Tamandua tetradactyla: one gene and its partners. The protein of the gene in region 3 interacts with the protein of the main gene of each other region in a biochemical or structural test. Links are inferred from orthologs where the notes say so. Each region holds a gene or a part of one and is shown on either strand. Other genes may lie near its edges.

Region 1 (7,339 bases), on a different chromosome or scaffold from region 3:
ATTGGGCCGGGTACATGCCTGGGCAACACACCTCGCAGGTGTCTGCACCCAGGGAGCCTTCTGGGCCATGGTGCAGGGTCCATGGAGGGTATGGGCTGGCCAGCCAGGAGTTAGGGCCCCGCTTGCTTGGTGGACTTGCACGGGGAGACCAGGGTCTCGGACCCTGTGTCCTCTTCCTGCGGGCTGTCCGTCAGTCATCTGGTCGGTGAACAAACCTTCCGGAAGCATCCATGGTGGGTGCTGGGGACCAGGCAGACACCAGCCCGGCCCTGCCCTGCTTTCAGGGGCTCACACCTTTGAGGAGTCAGGCAGGGACAAACGGGGGGGGCTCATTTCAGGTGGAGGACACCAGTTATGCCAAGCTTGGAGGCAAGAGAGAGGGGACAGACGGAATCCAGCCTGCCCTGGTGGGTGCAGAGCCCCAGGGGCCTCCTCCAGCACTGTGGGGTCCTCTAAGGACATGTGGTGGGTGGGCAACTGGGCTGAGTGGGCCTCTACATAGGAGAGGGGGAGGGGACAGGGAATCAAAACCAAGGCCCAGTCTGACCCCTCTCCACTCTCAGAAGGCGGGAGAAGCCCTCCTAGGTGGCCTGATCCCCTACTGGTACGAACCCACCCTCAGGAAGCAGCAGAGAGGAGCTGGCCGACACCCACCATCATGCCCTCCTTGCACGGCGACAAGCCTTGCCGTCCAGGGTCTGGCAGAGGTGGACTGGGTGCTGAGTCGTGACCCATCCCTCTGCATTAATGCCCCACGGCCACCAGAAGCAACTTATTCTGTGACAGCCGGCCCTCAGGGAAACGCTTGAGGTGGTTTCAAAGTGGAAAAAGGCAGCCAGGACTTTAGAAGGCATTCGATAGACAGGGAAACTGAGGCCCAGGGGTCAAAAGTGCCTAGGGTTGGCCAGCTGGTCAGCAGTGGTATCCAGAATAGAGCCCAGTGCTCTGGCTCCAGCTTTGCAAGCACGTCACAGAGTCTTTTACCATCAACTTAAAAAGACAGAGGGCTCCCACCCTTTAGTATTCTGGAATTCCCCCATACCCTTGGAGCTAGCTCCAACCCCGAAGGTCAGGCCAGTTCCCCAGCCTCAGGCCGTACTTTCCTGTGCCCTAAATCGAACAATGTGAGCCAGAGGACAGGTGTCCCCAGAAGCGTTATCAGTGCACACAGCCCACTGCAGCCTTCAGGGGCCCCTGCCCTAGCGGTCGGATGCTGCTGAAGAACTGGGCCTGGCCAGCCCTGAGAAGGCACTGAGCCTCGGCTTCCTCACCTGAGATGAGAAATGGGGAGACACATGCCTCCTCCCCCTTCCAGGGCTGCCCCCTAGGCTCCTAGTGAAAGAAAAGGGGCCTTACCCTTTTTTCTCAGCCCTGGCTGCACCTTGGAATTTCCTGGGAAGCTTCTGATACCACTGGCACCCCCACCCCCCACCCGCAAACCAGGCTAGAGCCAGTTTGGTCTGAGTTAAGGTTGCTGAATCCGGGCTGAGTATACAGCAGTCGCTCCAGAAATGCCTCTTTATTTACCTTGGGATGTATTCTGACCTCAGAAGGACTTGTGGATGGCATGGGGGACAGGGATGGGGTGTGCTTTGGGGGACAGGAATGGCCCAAGGTCAGCAGGGCCTCCCCAGCTCAGCCTGAAGGCAGCAGCCCTGTATCTGGGGGGCCTGTAGAAGAGGGTGGCTGCCAGACACCCCAGGCATCCCTCTGCACCCAGACCCCATGGCTTCCCCTCCCTTCCACCCCCCACAGGTTCTAGGACTCCAGTCACTCGGGGTCTGTCCAGGGGGTGTCCCTGGGAACCTTGTCCTGACTCCCACCATGGAAGCCGCTTCATGATCTGGAGGGGTTGCAGCCCCCGTTTAGCCTCTTGCAGACCCACCAATGTCCCCCCACGGGGTTCTGGAGCGGCCAAGCTGTGCTGGGTTTATCCTTAGCCCCCCAAAACCCGCTCCCCGGGGCTTCCTCGGGCTGCCTGCCCTGTTGGAGAAGTTTCAACAGGCTGTCCTGGCCTTACCCCAGCTTGGTCAGGATCCCCATTCCCCACGCCACCCAAGACCCCTGGATAAGGAGGGACCAGGACCAGGGAGGCCAGAATTCTCTGGCCTCATTTGTGAATAAAAAAGCTTAACATCCACTTGTCAGGGCCAGGCCCACCCCCTTCCCAGGCCCAGAGGGGAACCCCACCCCCCATCTACCTTGGCTATATTCCCTCTCCAGCTTCAGGCACTTGCACTTCTCCCTTTCCTGGGATGCCCCCACCCCCAGCTGTCTTTGGGAACCCCCCAGGGGACCACAGAGCCCTGGCAGCCGAGTAACCTGTGCACTCAGCTTTATCCCTGGTGAGCATCAAGTGTCTGTTCTCTTCCGGCTGGTGAGGCCCAGAAGGAAGGGGCTGTGGGTACACCTGGGCTCACACCAGAGAGGGACTCTGGTCCAGTGCTCCCCTGCTCCCAGCCATAGCCAGACTTCAGATGGGAGAGAACTCACTTCAAAGCCAGGGCTGGAGGTGCTTTGCCTTTCGGCCTGGGGCTCTCTGGGTGGAGTGGCAGGGATGGGGTGAGCAATGTGTGCCCAGAGTCCTGAGCCTGTGAATGGGGGGTAGGGGACAGGAAAGGGGTCTGTGCAGCACTGTTCTTCCTTCTAGGGGAAAATCTGTACCAGGCTGCCCAGCAGTCGGGCTGCTGTGATATAAACATTCCAGCTGCCTCCAGGCTCCTCCTCTCCGGGGCACTGCCCCGGGGAAGTTACCAGGCGCCCTGAGAGTGCAGCCACCTCCTGGAAGGAGGCAGCAAGGAAGGCTTCCCTCAGCAGCTGCCAGGGCCTGGGATGGCTGCCCGGGGTACTTGGGGCAGGGTGTCAGCTGCTGCCACTGTCCGGCAACAGGTGTGCCCTGAGCAGCGGTGAAATGCCGCACCACCAGGCGCCTCTCCAAGCAAGGGCCGCCTCCTCCGGAAGCCTCCGGGATTTCTGCGGTCCCGCGGCGTCTGGTGTTCATCGTGCTCGGCCGGGCCAGTTCCCGCTCGGCCTTTAGCCTCAGCTGGGGCCTCGTTTCCTCCAGAAAGGAAGCCAGGGCCAGGGCTGGGTTGCTGCGCCTCCAGCCATTGCACTCACCCCCTGTGTCGTGATGGGGTGGTGGGCGGCTGCCTGTCCGTGGCACTCGTTCTTGAACTTTGGTTATGCCGGCATCCTGGACGCCTAGTGCTCAAACGGGCTTGGCACAGGATGCCCTAGGAGAAGGAACCCGCCCGGAAGGAGCACGTGGGAGGGGCCGAGTTGGCGCCGGCGCTGGGTCTGCGCGGCCCTGGCGGGGTTTCCGGGGCCACCTGAGGCAGGGGGTGGCGGGGACAGTTTGAGGGCAGTGACGAAGGAGCATTGAGTTCAGCGGGGCCCTGCTTGGGCGAGCAGATGCACTCTCCACGCCGCAAGGCAGTGGCCCTGGGCTCTTCCCTCGAGGCGCCCAAAATCTTCACCACAGAGGCCCAGGGCGCGGCACCACCTTCGTTCAGGGTCAGGTGGTACGGTCTTTACTACCAGGACGTCTGGTGTCGGTGCCCGGTCCCCCAGGGTTTAAAGCCGCTGCCCTTGGGCACCCGCGAAAGGAGCCACGCGGTTCCGCGCGCACCCACGGACGCGGAGGGCGCGACTCCTCTCCGAGCCTCGGTCCCGGGATCTCCCAAACTTGGCCTCGGCCGCCTCTGGTCCCGAACCCAGCGCCTCTCCGGGAACGGCTCCCGCGCCTCCCCTGCCATTGAGATGCAAATGTCTCAATTGGCACCCAGAGAGGACGCCACCAGAAGGGATCCTTCCGCGGCCCGGGGCCAAACTTTGGGCCTCGGGAAACTTTCGAACGAGAAGTAGTCCCAGCGCTAGCCCGACCTCCCTCCGGACGCCCTGGCGCCCTGTTTCAGCCTGGGAGACCCTGGTTCCCTCCGGCGTGTCCAGCCCGAGTGGGCGCGGGGCCCGTCCCGGGCGCAAGGGGCGCGGGCGCGGAAGGATTGGCGGGGCGGGGCCCCGAGGCGGGGCCGGGGGCGTGGCGCGCGTCGGGGGCGGAGTGCACGGCCGCCCCGCGCCTCACTAGTGCCTCGGCTGCGGGAGGGAGCGCAGGGCCGCGGGGTGCGGGGCGCGGGGCGCCGGAAAGCGGAGGGCCCGGCGGAGAGCCGATCCGGCAGCTGGGAGACCGCGGGATCGCAACGCCCTCCCGCCGGCCGGGAAGGAGAGGAGGAGCCGCCCGTGGGACCCTCCGGAGTCAGAGTGCGCCCCAGCCCGGCCGGCCCCGCGCAGGAGGCCGCCCCGGGCGCAGCGGGCAGCCGGCGGGCAGGCATGCCGCCCCTGGCGCCGCTGCTCTGCCTGGCGCTGCTGCCCGCACTCACCGCACGAGGTGAGCGTCCGCGCCACGGGGCCCCACGACTTGCAGCGCCCTTGCAAACTTTGGCGGCTACCCGAGTCCGCGCTCCGGGCTGCGGAGGAGGGTACTGGGAGGCTCGAAGCAGCGGGGTACCCGGGAGGGGGACGGTGGGGGTGAGGGATCGGGAGTTCTGGGCACGGGAGAGAGGCGAACATCACCCCCCTCCCGATCGGGGAGGACCCGCGCTCTCTGACCCTGGGGACTGCGCCTGGAGCCGGCTTTGGAACCAGGTTTGAAGCCGGCTTTGAAGCCGGGTGTGGCGGGCCAGGGGCCCGGGCCCTTGGTCGCGTCCTAAACCAGCTACGCGTGGGTCTCGCAGCCGGGGCGGGCGGGCTGCCTACGACTTTTCGATTTGAATCGAGTCGGGCTCGGTTTCCTGTTGCTCCTCCGGGCCATTTATCTTCTTTCTTCTCCACCTTCCCGCGCGGAGTGCGGGGTCCGGGGCTCTGCGTTCACTTTGGCAAACCCTCGCCGCCGAATCGGCTTCCTGACCCTTTAGGAAAGCCGGCGCAGGGCCGCCGCGGGGCTGCGGGGTACACTCACTCCCTTGGCTCCATCAGTCCCCCCACCCCCCCACCCCATGACCACCCCCGGCCCTGCTCACAAACTTCTCGGTGAAGGGTGAGGGTGAGGGTGAGGGGCGGTGGGTGTGCAGAGCCTCAGCTGCTCCAGGATAGGACTGGTTTTCGCTTTGTAGAGTTCACATTTGGGGATTTTGAGAGGGGGGGTCGGTGGAGGGGGCACTAATTCCTCTCCCTTCCTCCCGGGAATCTAGTGCGGGTTAATTCCTCTCTTTCTCAAAAAGCTGGAGGCAAGAGTTTTCTTCTTCCAGAAAGCAGAGTTCCATGTCTTTGCGGCTGCTGCCCCAACAGAGGGACTCCTCTTACCCTGTCCTGCTAAGATGCGGAGGGAGGGGCTTCATTGATTGGTCCCTTCCCAGAAGTGGCGTTGAATTCTTTTCCAAACGGGGGCTGTTCACCCCACTCCCTGGGTGTGTTCGGGGGCAGCCCCTGGAGATGGCCCTCCTGCCGGAGCAGGTATTGGGTGTCCGAAAGGCGGGGCCAGGTCTGGGGTTGGGGGCTGCGGGTGCAGTCCCCCAGGCCCCAGGAGGCGGCCCAACCCGACAATGAGCTGCTCTGATTCTGCGGCCGGGGCTTTGTTGGCGGGCGGGGCTCCGCAGCTGTCGCATTTTCCCACGAGCAGGGAGCTGAGTTTGGCCGTCCCCTGGCCCACTGCCCCCCTCGCCAGGGTGTTTGAACAGCGAGCCAATGGCAATGGCTGAGTGTGGGCCCCCTGCCCAAGCCGGCGGGGCTGCCTGATGAAGAATGGGGTGGGGGGGGCACACAAAGTTTGGGAGAATGTCCCTAGGTTATCTCGGCTCTACTCCGCAGCAGCCCAGGTGGTCTCCCCCACGCCGGGCACCACCCCATCCACCTGCCAACCTGCCCCCTTCCCCATTTCCCCATCCAGCTCACTGGGCTGAGTGCTGAAGCCCTTGAATTTCCTGTAGTGGGTGGGTGGAGGGGCAGTCCCGATGTTCCCTGACCCCGATGTCAGGGTGGGCTGTCTGTCGGTCTCCAGAGGTGGGTGGCTTGGGGAGGGGAGGGCCTGGGACTCAAGGCGCAGGCCACGCTGACCTCTCGTCTCTACCTCTCCCCAGGCCTGCGCTGTTCCCAGCCCGGGGAGTCCTGCCTGAACGGCGGCAAGTGTGAAGTGTTGGCCAACGGCACGGAGGCCTGTGTGTGAGTATGCGCCCCGCGGGACCTGTTGCTTAGTCGGGAGCGGGAGCCCCTGCCCGCTGTGGCGCTGGGGACAGAACACTGGCCCATTGTCTTGCGGAGATGGCCCAGAAGGCTGGGCGTGGTCACGTGCTGACTTTTATTGGACAAAGTCTGGCAATTACTTAATCACCAGTAATTATGCTGCATTCGAAGCAGGAGCTGAAGCAGGTCTGGCCGCTGGGTTCCAGCACTCCCGTTTCGAGGCAGGCTTACCGGGGCTCTCAGTGGGAATCTCCTGCACCCTGTTTCTTCCTGAAGTCTCCAGTGGGCCTGCCCCGGGGCTCAGGGCCAGTGACAGGGGGGCCCAGTTCCCACCGCCTTTTACCTGGAGAGCACCTCCTTGGGGCAGGTGGTGCCTCCTCTGGGCAGGTGAGCGCCTCCTGTGCAGGTGAGCCTCTCATCAGGATATTGACTATTTCAAAACCAAACCCAACTGGCTGGGCTGTCTGCCTCTCCAAGTTCATTCCTTCCTCGCTTCAGGGTGAGGCTGGGGAGAGGGCTCGAGCCCCTTGGCCTCCCTTTCTCCCGGCACGGGGGTGGGGTGGGGGGAGTCTGCCTTCCCTTTGGCGTCTGCCTTCCCTTTGACTCCCACCTCCCCATTGCCGAGGCCCGCCGGCCCCCACCCTGGCCTCGGTTTCCCCGGCTGCAGATTGGGCACAGGTGCAGTGCAGTCTGCAGCCCCATCCTGACGCCCATAGGAAATCTGTTCAGAAGGGCACTGTCTGTGACAGCCGTTCGGCCTCGGCCAAGTGTCTGCTCTGGGCCAGTGCCCTTCAACTTGAGTTCTTCCCTGATGAGAAGGACGAGCAGATCTTGGTGGCTGCAGGAAAAAGTCCCTTCCTCCCTGCCTCGGGAGACTGCCCATGAAGAAGTGGCTCTTGGCTGAGCCGACTGCCCTCGTTCCAACTGTCGAGGGGCCCCTTACCCCGGCCAGTCCCCAGCCCCCTGCTCGGGCTCTGCCCCGCTCTGGCTGCCCAGCCTGTTGGCGTGCTACCTCCACCCCCTTCGGCCCCCCACCCTCCTTGAACTCAAGCCAATTAAGCAGGCCTGGAGCAGTGCCCCTTTGTCCGTCTCTAATGAATGCACACTACTTTTTTTTTTTTTTTTTTGCTTTTTGGGGCCTTTTTCTCCCCCAGCAGAAGCCTCG
Region 2 (7,339 bases), on a different chromosome or scaffold from region 3:
AGACTTTCCACCAATTTTTCAAGACACCGTATATCCCCAGTTTATACAGACATATGTTTTCTTCGTTCAACATTTATTTAAAATGTATACATTGAGGACGTATGTGCTCCACTGTGCTAGAAACTGGGTGAAAATGGATAAGGAAGATTTTTGCCCTCGAGGAGTTTTACAGCCTATTTGTCTGAGAAGAACAGACATGACCACAAATAAATGCATTTCTACTTTGGTTTGGGGAGACGATTTTAAATGTGAATTTTATGTGTAAAGACATAAGTATAGTTTTAGTTTTGATTAAAATTAAAACCAGTGGGGGCCCTTGTCCATGGTTTTCTACTGATAATGGTCTGTAGATTTTTATTTGGCTCTGGAGACTGAGATCCCCTTTTTTTTCCCAATGAAATTTTGTGGGATCCCATCTTTCTCTGCACGAGTGAAGCTATGCAGAGAACTTCAAGGATGAGTGATGGCTATGATTAGTTATGGGATCACTTGAACGTTTTCCTGCCAATTTCTCCTATAAAGTAGGATTTGCTTTGACTAGAAGTATTGTCCTTAAGGAAGATCATTCACAATCCAGTTGAGTAATTAAATTGCTGAGTACATTTGGGGTTGATATTCCCAGAAAGATCCTGGAATTTCATGTCAGCAGCTACTCCAATTGTGAGACAACACCACAAGTCCCCTTGATTTTTAATGTATTAGGAAAATATTCAACTAAAAGTACACTATGGGATTTAGGCTTAGCTTTGAGAAGAGTCCAATAGCAGAAGGCATATTTCAGTGCAACTCCATCTTCTTAGTCAGGTCTCGCCCAGTTCTCCTTAAAGTATTCAAAACCTATTGCTTTTACTCCTGAAGACAGTTCTCCCTCTTCCAGTTAGACTGATCTCTTGCCTACTTATCTTCACCAAATCTCCTCTTCCTTCTCCAATATTCCCCATATCTAGAAACAGCCCCGTCATGTCTCAAGGCACTGTGTTCATTGCTGATTCCTTGATCTACCTTCAGTCTTTCACCTAAGCAGTCACTCTATCCTCACAGCCCCTGCTTAAATTCTTATTTTCTTAAAGTTAGGGAACAGGCTCTGGTCTCTTTTGTTTACCTGCCTCTACATTTGCTATTCCTTGGGTCTGGAACACCCCTAAACCTCTACACATGTGAAATCTCTTTTTTTTCTTTATTTTTTGCCTGGTTAAATGAACCCTTTGGTCCCTTATCTCTCAGTCCTGCTGTTGGGTTCCTCGCAGAAGCCTTCTACGCCCACCTCTAGGCTGGCTTAGGATTCACCACCTCTCCGCTGTGAACCCAAACACTCTGTACTTGCCACACTCATTGTTGGCTTACTTGTCTGTCTCTCCTTAAGCTGTATCCTCAACCCCTAGCACAGCGTCTGACCCATGGTAGATGATCATTAAAATGCTAGTTGATGGGTTGGACTTATTTCTTCTCATCTCTTGGTCTTTGCAGATTCCAGTTTCTTCTCTTGATTTTAAGCTCCTCACATTTTTTGTTTTTAACAGTTATGCCCATAACTTCCCACAAAATCTGTCTTTCAAAACATCTCTTCAGTTGCAGCCTTTATTTCAACTTCCATTCATAAACATTTACCCTTCATTTCTCTTGTCCTTACAGGAACATAACATTTTAACAAATCTAGCAAAATTATACATGAAAAAAGCACTGCTTTTTTAAAAAGTCACCTTGAGAAATTGTACACCTATTTAGTCATTTCTGGAGCTGCTCTTTGGGGATGATTACCTTCCGAGTACATTCTTCTGAGTCTATTTTTATAGTGACATCTTCAATTTTTGCAGGTGATTTTCAAAACTTCTATAGAGCCAAGAAACTATGAACAATATCTATTGAGTAAAGAGGATGATCAAGCTGAGGAATACCTCGATTTGGGTCAAAAAGTAAAAAAACTATGAACACAATTGCACATGAGAAAGTCCAAAACTGTTTTGACTAATTATGTCATTTTTGAAGTGTTTCTATCCTTTCAAGGTGATTACTTTCAGCTATCGTATTTGCTTATCTGTTAGAAAGTGCTTGTTAAAATAAGTTCTGGCCTATTGTTCACATGATTTGCACTTGTTTAGTGTTGATCTACATTCTTAGATTGACAGCTACTATGTGATAGACAGAGGGCGCGGCATGCACAGAAGTATATGGCCACGGTCCTTGCCCAAAAGGATGTCCTAATCCAGTTGAGGACAGACATACAAACAGTCCTGTGTGAAAAAGAGATGTCGGTGTAAGATAAAGAAGCAGTACACAGGACGTATTGTCTGTGAGGGGCAGGAATTTGTTACAATATTGGCAAAACCTGCTCAGGATTGAAGGATGAATGATGATTAGAAGTTTACCACGTGGAGGAGGGAGGGGCTAGAAGAGTGTTTCCAAACCAAGGGAACAGAAGGTACAGAGACTAGAACAGCAAGGTATGCTTGGGGAATCTCACGTTGTTCAATACTGTCATTGTATCAAGCTCAAAATGGGGCATGGAGGAGGAAAGGAGGCTGGAGACTAAGCAGGGGGTCAGTGAGAGAAAGGCGTTGTGTGTAGCATTTTTAGGAGCTTGGATTTTTAGGAGCTTGGACTTTATCTCACAGGAGCCAGGGAGAGGTTCTGTGGGTAGGATTTCTCATTCAACTGGATTGTAAACTCCCTAATGCAATTAGTCATACAGGTTTGCACCACCTCACCCCCACCCCCACCGTTTCCTTCTCCGCCTCCCCCCTTTCTGTAAAGCCAACTTCAGATCCATCGCTCGCCTTCCACTGTAACTTCCGCTTCATTATTAAGACCTTCATCACCTCACCCATACACTGTCTGACAATCTCCCTACCGGTCCTGGGGCTCAAGTTCACCTCTTTCTCCCTACAGTCAGTTTCGCACATGAGTATCAGAGCAACCTTCCTTTACATCTAGTCTCATCCCTGTTCAAAAACCTTCAGTGGTTCTCCACGGCTTGAGAGATAAGACCCTTATTTCTCTTTCTCAGCTTCTCGCTCAAGGTCTTACACAATCTAGTCCCAACCCTCCTCTCTCTAATTCCTCTCTCTGCTAACAGAGCCAGAACACATCTCACTTATTCCCTTCTCTGTGCCTTTGTTTTTATGGTGGCCTTCCCCTGGGATGCTACCCCACTATAACTTTTATCATTTATTTCAGCTCTTTTATTTTGTATGGCAAACCTATTTGTTTTCCTGCATGGTCACACCTTCACTCTTCTGTGCTGGAAGGAAACACCACTGGGTTATATTCTTTTACTATATATGCATGAATTCATAAATAATATATGGCATTGTTCGGGGGGATTAAATATACATAAGTGGCATTATAGTTTATGTCTCTTGCAATTAGACTTTCCCTATCATTTTGTTTTTAGGATTTATCCCCCCGACATAAATGAATAGCCTTCCATAGCTGACTTGCATTTCAATTTAAGTATATCCTATATTAATTATTCATTACTGTATTGGTGGGCATTTATGTTGTTTCCAAGTTTGGACTATTAGAAACAATGTTGCAACCAGTATCCTTAGCTTGTCTCCTTGTCCTATCCACATTTTAGTAAGCTTTCAAGATTTTGGTCTCATTGCAGCTTTTCCATCTGAGCCTTCCCTGAAGCCCTCGGCTCCCAGCAGTTTCTGCCTTCTGGACCCTACAGTAGCTTGAGCATCCAGAGTCTTTAGTATCATTTCGTTGAGACTAGCACACTGACAGGAGAAGTAAGGTGCTCAAGTAGTATTTGCCAAATGAATGAATGGTGCAACACAACCCAGCCGACGGCTCTGCTCATTCTGCATGGACTTTGGCGCCTTAGTCTGCAAGTCCTTCTCTGACAACAGTGGTCCTTCTCTACGGCGTTCCTTCGAGCTAGCAGGGGTGTGGGCATCATGCCCGTCTCGACGGGTGAGGTCTGTCCCTCTGCAAGTTCAAGATCTCGGCAGCCGTGGTATCTGCAGGTCACAGCCCTAACACGCACCCCCCTGGCCCTCCGCATGGCCCCGCGACGCCGTCTAGCTCCGACCGCGCGAAGGCGGGTCCCAGCGCGACCCCGGGCGGGGAAGGATGGCGCCGCGGGGAGGGGGCGAGGGCGGCGGGGCGGCGGCGGCTCGCAGCAGATCCTTCCGCGCGCAGCTCGGGCCGGCGCTTCTTCCTGCGGGAAACCCCTGGGTGCGAAGGCGGCGGGGCCGAGGCCGGGCGGCAGCGGGGCGGGGCTTGGCGGTGGGAGGAGGCGGCCGAGGCGGAAGGACACACGAGGCGGCTTCGTTGCACAGCCGAGAAAGTTTCAGCCAAACTTCGGGCGGCGGCGGAGGCGGTGGCGGGGTGGCGGTGCAAGGAGTCGAGGCATCTAAGCCTGAGTTTCGGGGCGAGCCGCCGCAGGAGGAGGCGAGGAGGGGAAAGCGGGGGCTCCTCTGTCGGGACCCCCTCCCCATGTGGCTCTGCCCAGGCGGCAGCGGCGGCGGCGGCGACCGAGAAGATGCCCACCCTGCGCCCCGCTCCGCTGTGGGCGCTGCTGGCGCTCGGGCTGTGTCGCCCGGGCCCCGCGCGCGGTGAGTATCGCGCGGAGGGGCGCTGTCCCCTGCGCCCGGGGCCGCGCACCGCCGCCCCCACCCCGGCCCGGGCCACCTGGGGCGCGCGTCCCCCCTCTTCCGTCCTCGTTTCTGTGGGCTCGGCCGCCGGCGCGGAGGGAGGCCACTGGGTTCCCGAAAGTTTGGGCATCGTCGGGCCCCTCCCTCGGCGCGCCCCCTCCCCCGCGCTCCGGGCCGCCGCCCACTGACCCACGCGCGTCTCCTTAGCCGGACGGAGGCCGGCCAGCCAGCCCGTCTCAGAAACCCCGGTTTCCGAGGACTCGAGTTCGGGGAATTGGGCAGTCTGGCCCTTTTGGTTCCGCGTTTCTTGGGGTCTGGGGAGAGCCGAGGGCGGGCTGACCCAGGCGAAGGGTCGGCGGCGGCGGACCGCGGTGGCGCTGAGCGAAGGAATGCCGGACTCCGGTGTGGAGAGCGGGGGCAGGGCCTCGAGCCCAAGGCTTGCACCTTCGCGGCCACGCTTTGCTTTGCCAAAGGGAGGCAGGCACACGGCCCGGGCGTGTGGGTCCCGCCTGGATGGGGACGGGGTTCCTCAGGGCGCCTGGGTTTTGACACTCCGACCGGATGGTCCCGAGGAGTTGGGTGTGTTTGGCTCGAGTTTTTGAAAGGTGGTGGCAGGAGCAGTGGGGAAACTGGTGTGGCTGCATGCTGAGCACATGATTTAAAAATCTCAACTGCTATTATTCTTTCCGAGGCGCGGAGCCCGGCCGCTGTTTCAGAGTCTGTGTCCAGCCCCAGGAATGTGGTGTGACGTTCGCCAAGTCCTCCAACCTGGCAGCACATTTGCTGCTCATTTGGCAGGATGGGGTGGGGACCTGGGGCGGGCGAGGAAAAGTGGATAGGTTAATTCATAGTGCCTCCTTAGAAAGCCTCTTTACGGTTGGATACTTGGAGCAGCCTTTCTAACCCAATTGGACCAAGGAAAGGAAATCAAATCATATCTCATGCATCTCACCCCCAATCTTAGATTCTAAAATTTTCAGACTGTTTTAATGGAAAGAGCGTGGGCTTTGGAGCCTTGCTCTGTAATCGAGGGTTCAAACCTGGCCCTGCTGTATGAGCTCACCAATAAAATGGAATGAAATTAACCCCTCTAATAGGATTAATTAAGAGAATGTATATAAAATCCCTGGTACTCAAAAGGTGTTTGGAAAGCCCTTTCAGAGCAGGGGCTGTTTTATTCTCTCTGTGCTCCCACTTCCCAGGAGATGGTGTCTTGTGCCTGTTTGTTCAGTTGAACTGAGCTGCCTCCTTCCTGAGCCTAATCTGGAGGGGTATTTTACCTTTACCAGAAAACTGATACACGAACCACGTCTTTTTTCAAAGAAAAGGTTAAGAAGATGATGAACTTCAGAAAAAATGGGTCTGTTCATTCTTACCAGGAAATGGATATTCTGATCACAGATGTTTTAAGAGAGAACAGGATCATTTACCAGGAGAAAACGTAGCGTTGGCTTATTCACATTCTGTCCTTCTTGGAAGATCCAGATTCTCCACACTCCTCTGTTCCTGAAAATTTCCGACGTGGCTTGGGAGGCTGTGTGACCATGAATCAAAACTGCACTTTCTGAAGCGTTTAATAAAAAGCACATGATGGTGTTTTGCCTTTCCTTTTTCTCTGAGCGAAATCTTTTGAACGAGTGTAGATTTAGGATGAAGTGTGGACAGTGGGCCAGTCTAAGCGTTACAGTCCTTGGCCTACCATTAACTGGTTTTCATAAATCATTTAAGCTTCATGTTGAGTCTTCATCTATGAAATAGGACTAAAGGAATAACCTAACCCACTTTAGAGAGTTATAGGAAATAACAAATGCTATTGTAAAGTGATTTGCAAAATGAAGGGTTCAGTGATAAGACTGATGTCAGAAATAGGATTAATGTGACCCATAGGGCTTCTTTGATTATAAGTTCAGTTGCCAAACTACTGTGATGGAAGACATGAAAGGCTGTTTCTTGGTGCAGATCTTAAATCTCAGATTCTAGCGGTGAAGTCTTCTTGGATCTGCAATCCAAAGCCATCGTGTTTTTACCAAGGTCTCACTGGTAATGCACCCTTCCAGCCTTTCCACTGATCCTGTGTTTGGCTTGTGGCCAGTTGTTAATTTAAACATCACTGAGTTCCTAAGCCAGGGAGCTGTCAGCCCTTCTGTCTGATTGTCTAAACAGTTATCCAGGACCACCTCTTGCTCCTTTTCTGCTTTTGCTTGCAATGGGAAGTGACTCCCTCGGTTTGCCGCCTGTTACATAATTTTTGAACTGAATTCTCTTCTTTTAAAAAAAATCACCAAGAGTAATTGCTTTTTCTTTCAGGTGAAGAGGAAATCTACCTTAAAGCTATTTTCCTTTTCCTTTTCTTTCTTCCTATTCCATATTTCCTTATAAAAATTCTTTCTATCTTATGATTATCTTTGGGGAGATGAGAATGATTGCGTTTAATCTCTTTTTCATGATGTTTTTACTTTTCTGAAAAGATTATCTTTAGCCACATCTCCTCACATCTCTCTGTCCAATTCCCACTCTGCTGCCTCTCCTCTAGACGTCTTATGCATAAGGGAGCAATTTTTGGTTCATCTGGATTCTAGTTACTCACTTCAGGTTCTTTAGAGAATGTTTAAATCAGTGGGATATGCTTGGATGCTTCAGAGAAGCCTTACAATACATTTTAAAAATATCCTACCCACAGAAATTCTATTTTGCCCACAAAATTTGCATTGATCTAGTTCCCACTCTCAGATACATTC
Region 3 (7,135 bases):
CAATTCTTATTACCTGTTCAAAGAAGTCAGTTTTAAAAAAACATACTTGTTAATATTTAATTTCCAAATCGAATGAAGCCAAACTGTCTACTTCAGTCCTTTTCAGCTACCTTTCACTTAAGTTTACACTCACCCTGAAGTCATTCTTGGAAGTCACTTATGGTGGAGTTCCAATCACAGTCAGGAAAATAAAGCAACATACCTAAACTGCAATTTCTCTTGGGAAGTGGAGCTTATGTTTCACAGGAGGCCTTTTTTGGAGAACTGGGGCGGAGACTTATTTATGCATGATATACACATTTGGCCCAGCTTCAAAAGAACCACACTCGCAGTGTATGCCCCCTGGTCCCCCATTCTAGAAGAGCCAACAGTCTATTTCACGGTCAGTGACCCGCAGGCCTGAAACCACAGAAGGCACCAGCAGATCAAATGTTTCCGCTGCCCTCGCATGCTGCTTCCGTTCTTCTTCCATCCAGAGGAAACTCTCTGCCAAGTGTCAAAAAGGGACAGACACACCTTCTAGGTCACTTTCCCCAAGCCAGCCGGGAGAACACGGCTCCCAGTTTTCATCTAAGCCATTCTCTGACTCTATCCTCCAAAACGGACCTCAGCCAGGCTTACTGCTTTTCCACATCACTAATAAGATTCCTTTTATGGTGGTGTGAAAAGCAAGGGGCTCTGACTGGGAGGGCAAAAACACCTGCAACCCCTTCCTCCTAAATTCCAAATACACATCAGAGGGCAGTCAGTATTCAGTTTAACTCATAGCCAGATTTAAAAGTGGCGAGTCTTGTTAGCTTAAAAATTCTCCCTAATAGGGGATTAGCAAACAAGATAAGCACTCTTTGTAAAAACAAGTGCCACAACAGAAGCAGCCCCTCCAATCTGAGGACTCCATATACCACAGGTTTTTAGAAGCCCCTTTCCCCTTCAGTGGCACATTTTTGATAATGGTCTCATCTCACACAAGGCCGAGGACGTCACCAGCTCCTGCAACGTGAGCCCTAAAAGTCTCCCAGAGCTCAGACCCGACCTGGCACTCTATCCCTCGCCTTCCCACCTCCCCGGGTGGAGGATCACAGCCCGAGTCCACGACAGGAGGCAGCAGAGGGCATCCCCGCAGAGCACGTGGCGGAGAACATTCCTCCAGGCACCCAGTCCCCACCCCACCCCCCAGCTCAGGCTGGGCCAAGCCCAGGCCTGGCAATGAGTCACGCCTCCTGGACAGGAGAAGCCAGGCAAAGGGCACCCCCAACATTTCCCTTTCCTCCCCTTCTGTAATCGCACCCATCTTCCTTCCACCCATTTCAGATTTTGCAACGGCTTCGTGGCGGGGCACGTCAGCTGGGCCCGGGACTGGAGCGGCTCTGGGGGGCAGTGGAGAGGGGTGAGGGTCCCTGCACTTGCATTTGCAGTCACAGCCTCCGGCGAGCCGCCCCTTCCACTCCTTTTGGCACGCCCCCGAAGGCCTGCGGGACAGGGCGCCCGCTCGCACCCCCGCCCTTCCCCGGGAAGTTTGCGAACACAGCTGTTCCAGTGCTGGGGAATCGCTGGAAGTGAGGCCAAAAGAGTTGCACCGAGCGGGGGCGGGGGCAGGAAGGGGCCGGCAGGAGGCGGAGGCTCACCGCCCGACTGCCCGGGCAAGGGCCCCGAGGCCCCCCTTTGGCGGCCGCTCCCGGGCCCGTGCTCCAGGCCCAGAGCGCGCCCCCGCACACACCAAAAAACTCCGGGGGAGAAGCGGGAAACGGGTCTCCCCACCCGCTCCAGGAAGGACACACCCGCCCTCCCGGCGGCTCGCGGGAACGGGGAGAGTGCCAAATTGGACGGCGTTAGCAGGCCAGAACAGTTTTCCTTCCACCGCGCACCAGGTTTAATTGGTTAAGCAAAGAGACCACCTATAATGACCACCCCGAGGCTTGGGCGGTTACTCCACGGCCCTCAAGGTGCAAGTTTAAACCCGCATTCCTGGGACCTCTATTGATCCCCAAGCCCCACTGGGATCCCTACTTTTGCGAGTTTGGCAAACGGCAGGGGGTTGGGGCCCGCTCAGTCAGGTCCCGCCAAGATGTAACTATAGGGCCTCAGCTCCCTAACTCCCCGCTCCCAAAAGCCTTCCCCAGTTAGCGTCGAGTTTCAAGCCAAGGCCCTTTAAATTCCCTTCACCGGGGCACGCTGAACTCGACCTCGCAGGAGTGCGACCCTCGACCGGGCCTCCCCTCCCCGCGTCCGTCACTTACCGGCCAGGAGAAACTGAAAGGCAGCACGATGCGGTTGCGGCTGTTACCGCGGCTGACCTTAAGGTTGAAGGTGTTGCCCCCTATGACAGGCGTGGACCCTGAGCCGAAGCTGCAGGGGCCCCCGGCCGTGACGCGGGACTGGTACTCCTTGAGGCATACTTTGAAGTACGTGTTACACTCGTCGCGGGCGCACTTGCGGTCCGCGGGGTTGCGGGCGCCGCTGCAGCAGTTCCCGTTCTGCAGCTCCCCGTTCACGTTCTGCATGGACAGGATCTCCAACTCAAACTGACCAGAAGCCCCGCACACCTGCCGGCGAGGGAGGGAGGAAGGTAGGTCAGCGCGGAGGGAAGTAGTTTCCTTCGAGGGTGGAGGTGGCAACTCCCTCCCCGCCCGCCCGCTCGCTCGCTCGCTAGCTCTGGCGAGACTCAGCGCCAAGTGAAAATAATTTTGCAGAACTGGGTTCGAGGACGCGACGTGATTTAGAGGCACAAAATGCACGAGTGCGGGAGAAGCCTGACTGACTCCGCGGGGATCCAGGAGGAGAACAAACGCACCTCCTTTCAGCCTCAGTGGCCACGCTTAGGAGGCCCGGGGCTGCCAGGGAGAAAGCGGGCGCGCCCAGCCCAGGTGCAGCCACTCAGGCGCGGGGTACGGTCAGCCAGGCGTCCAAGGGTCGCCGAGCCCGCCGCCGGCGTCCTCAGCGCCGCGAGGGAAGGGAGAGGGTGGCAGAGGGAGGCCTGGCGACAGGGCAGGCGCGGCGGGCTCCTACCTTGGTTCGCAGGGCGCAGAGCAGGGCGAGCAGGAGGCTCAGGGGGCGCCCCGGCCGGCCGCGCGTCCGTGGGGACCGCATCGCTGCGCCGCGCGCCGCGGGCACTCGGGACGCCGACGCCGCCGCTGCTGCTCGCGCTGGTGCTCTCGCCGGTACTGCCGTCGCCGCTGCTCCTGCGGCCGCCGCGTCCCGGCTCTAATATACTCCGCCGATTGGAGCATGCACGACTGGCAAACAACACCACTTTTCAAAAGGCCTTTCAAGAGCGGCGGGTTCCAGAAGGCAGAGAGCCCGGCCTCCTTTTATTATTCCGATCGCTTCTTTGAGGCGCTCCCCCTCCTCTTCCACCTCCCGGCTTTCTTTCCCTCTCTCGCTCTCCCCTTCTTTTATTATTATGATTATGCGCAGCCTTTTATTCCTTTTCAGATCAGCTGCATGGAAAGGAGGTGGGAGGGGAGGGAAAAAAAAAAACCTGAGTCCTGCTCGCGGGCCGACCGCAGGTAACACAATGCCGCGCTCCCGCCCAGCTCTCAGAGAGGGACCCGGAGAGCCCGTCTGGGAGCCGCGGCCCGGGCTGGCCACCTCTACCCAGCGCCTGGGCAGGGCGCATGCGCCCTTATTAATATTCATGAGGGGCGGTCCCACTCAGGCCACGCCCTCTCCTCCCAGGGTGATGGGGAGGAGGGGCAGGGGCAGCTGGGAGGAACTTGGCTGGGGCTGGGTGTTCTGAGGCGCGCGGGGCGGTCTGATGTCTCGGGGCCCCGTGCAGACCCCCGCCCTCGGGAGCTCTGAGATTGGCGTGGCTGGTGGGGGAGGCGGGGTGGGCGTTCTTGAGTGGGGTGGGGGTTCAGAGGGAGGAACCTGGCAGGGGCCAGGGGCTCACGGACTTGGGGGCCACGTGGGCGCCTGGGGTTGCCGCGCGCGGCCTGTTTCCCTCGCACGCCCCAAGCTGGGTATCTCAGCCCACCCGTCGGGGTCCCAGGTGTAGGGGCCGTGGGGCTGCCTGAGCTGGGCAGCTTCCGCCTTCCGACCCGCCTGCGTCAGCTGCGGCTTTCGCCCGGGAGTAGCGCCTGCCCGCCGGGAGCCCGGCCCGCTTCCCGCGAGGAGCGAGCCGCCCAGAGCGCTCCGCTGGCGGCAGAGGCGGCGGCGAGGCTGGCGCGCTTGCCGCCGCCTGTTCGCCCGGCGGAGGCGACCTGGGCAGGCGCTGCTGGGAACTTTGAAAAACTTTCCCGGAGCCAGGCTTGCCGCAAATTCGAGGGGAAGCCTCGGCCGCGATCCCCCCTGTCCCCCCCCTCACCCCAATTCGAGTCTTGGAGTCTCTCTCGGAGGACTCCCAGCTTCCTTTCCAAACTGCGCCAGGGCGGGGCCGCGGGGAATCCGGGGCGAGTGGGTGGGGGCGGAGGGGGTCGGGCTCGCAGGGCCGGTAGTAGGCTTTGGGTGGCGGGCGGGCAGAGATACTGGTGGGCTCGAACGCGCACCCTCCTCGCCGCCTGGGCTGCAGTGACGGGATTGCACCTGTAGGCGGCCTCCGAGCAGCTTTCTGGGTGGCACGAGGCTGTATCTGGAAGGGGCCGTCTCGCCGCCGCCACCGCCACCGCCCAGCAGCAGAGCCTTGCCTTCTCTGGGGTGGCAGGGAAACTGATGGTATTTTCCACTTGGAGGCAAGCTCACACTTAACAGTGAGACCCAACAGTCATAGCCAAGGTCTGAGGAGACCCGCGAGCTGGCCGAAGCAATTACCAAGCACCCTTCCCAGCGGGCCTGCTTGCTGTGTCTGAGGAGACATCTTTAGGGAAAGATTGTCTCCCATTGAAGATCAAGCAGTTTTGGACCTTACTTTGAGTATGTCCTACGGAAAAGCACGACTATTCAGGGTTCAGTTTTGGGCTTGAACCCTCCGGGGCTGTGAAGGATGGTGGGCTGTAGTGGCTCAAAGGAAAATAGTTTCCAACGGGTTGAGCTGTAAGAGTGTAAAAGAGTAGATGCTTTGCGTTATTATCTACTTAAGCGCATTTGGTAGAAGGCTCAATATGGACAATATTTTCAGCGCCAGATCTCATCATGCTGGGGAATCAAATAAGGAGGCTCTTCTAAATTGATTCAAAGCCACCAAGGATGGATTAGGAATATGGGCATTTAAACAGTCCAAGAAAAGCTGCTAGGAAAGGTGCCTTCATGGTAATCTGTCCCGCTGTGATAATCATTGGTGAGTGAAGTTTTGGAAGGGCTACATCCAAGAGAACAAGTGTGTAATAGGTCATACTGGCAGCTGGGCAGGCAGTCTTTTCTCTTGAGTTGCCCCGGCACCCTTCCCACAATTATCTTAATTACAGTGCGTCCACTGGTCCTCTAATCCCATCTAGCCGTTCCTCACCACTTTCTCTGTAAACCAATATCCCTGTCTGGATCCCACCTCCTCCCTGCCTCCACTCCTAAATCTCCATAAATTGTGGTGCTAAGTAATGATCAAAAAGCAAAATGTTGGTGCAGAAAAAAAGCATAATTCCTGAAGACAATGCACAGAATTTGGGGATTTGGGGTTCGTCATGTTCCCACCTGTTTTGTCTCTTTGTCCTGCCCCCCACCCCATTCCACCCCCAGGAAGGAGGCTTTGGAGCCAGGCCTTGAAGAGTTTAGAATCTGTCACTTGGCTTTACCACAGAACACTCCCTAGGATTGCTGGTAAACCAGGGTTGCTTCCTGTCCATGGGTGAGTTTGGCCTCTGACTAGTAAGAAACAGCATAGATTTCTGAGGGGTTGCAACTCCCAAATTAACGCAAGAATGCCAAAGCAATCACTAATAAACAACACAAAACTCTCATGCCAAATAGCACAGTGCCCCCTCACCCTTCCTGAGCTTGGGAACTCACTCAGAAAACAGTTGTAGGTTAGAGGGAAATCTTTGAAAATTTTCAGTCAGGGCTCTTCCAATTAGTTGATAGTCCCCCCCCCCCCCCCAAAAGCCAGTAGTGTTTAATGCAATAGACAATGAGTGGAAATCCCTCATTCCCTCAAAAATGGGGACCTGCTGCCAAAAGAACTCAAATGTGGAGATTTCCCCTTGGCCAGGCTGTTTCCTGCCTTTGGACATAGCCTTCCAAGTGTAAACAAATGCCCCAAGAAAGTTCTGTGAAAATAATGCTATTTAGCTTTCACACCTGAGAGAAGGGGCAAGGCTTACAGTCAGTTACTGCCTGGCCTGTCTCCTGTGCTCAAATCATAGCCTTCCTTGGATATATTTTTTGCCTTTAATTTAAAAAAAATAATGCCTCGTTTTTCTTTTTTACTACAAAACTTGCCCCACCTTTCCTGAGTCATCAACAAACAGCAGCCCTGAACCCCCAACTGGCTTAATAAGAGAGAATCAAAGGGTGTTAGCTGTATTTAAATACTTGGTTAGTTGAATTCCCTATTAATCGACACTGATAAAAATCAGCTGAGAACCACTGTCAACACATAGTAACATGGATGATCTAAAAAAATATACTGAGTGAAAGAAGCCAGATACTAAAGACAGCATACTGTATGAATCCATGTATATGAAGTTCTAGAACAGTTAACATTAATCTATGACAAAAAATTTATAGGAAGTGATGGCTTAGGGGTTGGGAGGTGAAGAGTGCTTAAAAAGAGAGTTGTGATTCCTTCAGAAGGTGAGTAATGTTCTGGATCTTGACGAGGGGTCTGGCTGACACAGCTATATGCATCTGTCAAAATCATTAAATAGTACACTGGAGATGGGTGTATTTCATTATGTGTTCATGTAAGAAAAAGAATTTTAAATGCATTCCACTCGAGTTAATTATATGGGTGCTGAAACATTTAGGGGGAAGTGAAATGATATCTGCAACTTAGAAATGCCTTAAATACTAGAGGAAATGATGGGTGGATAGAGGGATGGCTGGATGGATAGATAAGCTAATGCAAGAAGACCCAGATAGGGGTATACTTGTATTCACTGTAAAATTCCTTCCAATTTCTGTATGTTTGAAATTTTTTCATTATAAAATGTTGGGGAAAATAGTGATTGAAGTCCTGTGTGTGCCGGGTATTGTGCAGGGTGCCAAGAATAAGATGGGCAATACCAAAATATTGAACTTAAGTTCTCTGGAATGGAAGGTCCATTTG

The links.
Region 1: the proteins of JAG1 (region 3) and NOTCH1 form a complex in vitro, tested with the Homo sapiens proteins (3 studies listed by BioGRID and IntAct, with this or other methods). The link is inferred for Tamandua tetradactyla from reciprocal best matches to the Homo sapiens genes JAG1 and NOTCH1.
Region 2: the proteins of JAG1 (region 3) and NOTCH2 form a complex in vitro, tested with the Homo sapiens proteins (2 studies listed by BioGRID). The link is inferred for Tamandua tetradactyla from reciprocal best matches to the Homo sapiens genes JAG1 and NOTCH2.

What each region holds. Positions count from the first base shown.
Region 1 is NC_135328.1:126,089,923-126,097,261, reverse strand, and holds the start of NOTCH1 (neurogenic locus notch homolog protein 1), read left to right. Parts: upstream 1-4,319; 5' UTR 4,320-4,326; coding exon 4,327-4,384; intron 4,385-6,071; coding exon 6,072-6,153; intron 6,154-7,339. UniProt on the Homo sapiens protein: Functions as a receptor for membrane-bound ligands Jagged-1 (JAG1), Jagged-2 (JAG2) and Delta-1 (DLL1) to regulate cell-fate determination.
Region 2 is NC_135337.1:641,703-649,041, forward strand, and holds the start of NOTCH2 (neurogenic locus notch homolog protein 2), read left to right. Parts: upstream 1-4,247; 5' UTR 4,248-4,489; coding exon 4,490-4,562; intron 4,563-7,339. UniProt on the Homo sapiens protein: Functions as a receptor for membrane-bound ligands Jagged-1 (JAG1), Jagged-2 (JAG2) and Delta-1 (DLL1) to regulate cell-fate determination.
Region 3 is NC_135327.1:50,133,391-50,140,525, reverse strand, and holds the start of JAG1 (protein jagged-1), read right to left. Parts: upstream 3,088-7,135; coding exon 3,007-3,087; intron 2,544-3,006; coding exon 2,238-2,543; intron 1-2,237. UniProt on the Homo sapiens protein: Ligand for multiple Notch receptors and involved in the mediation of Notch signaling. May be involved in cell-fate decisions during hematopoiesis. Seems to be involved in early and late stages of mammalian cardiovascular development.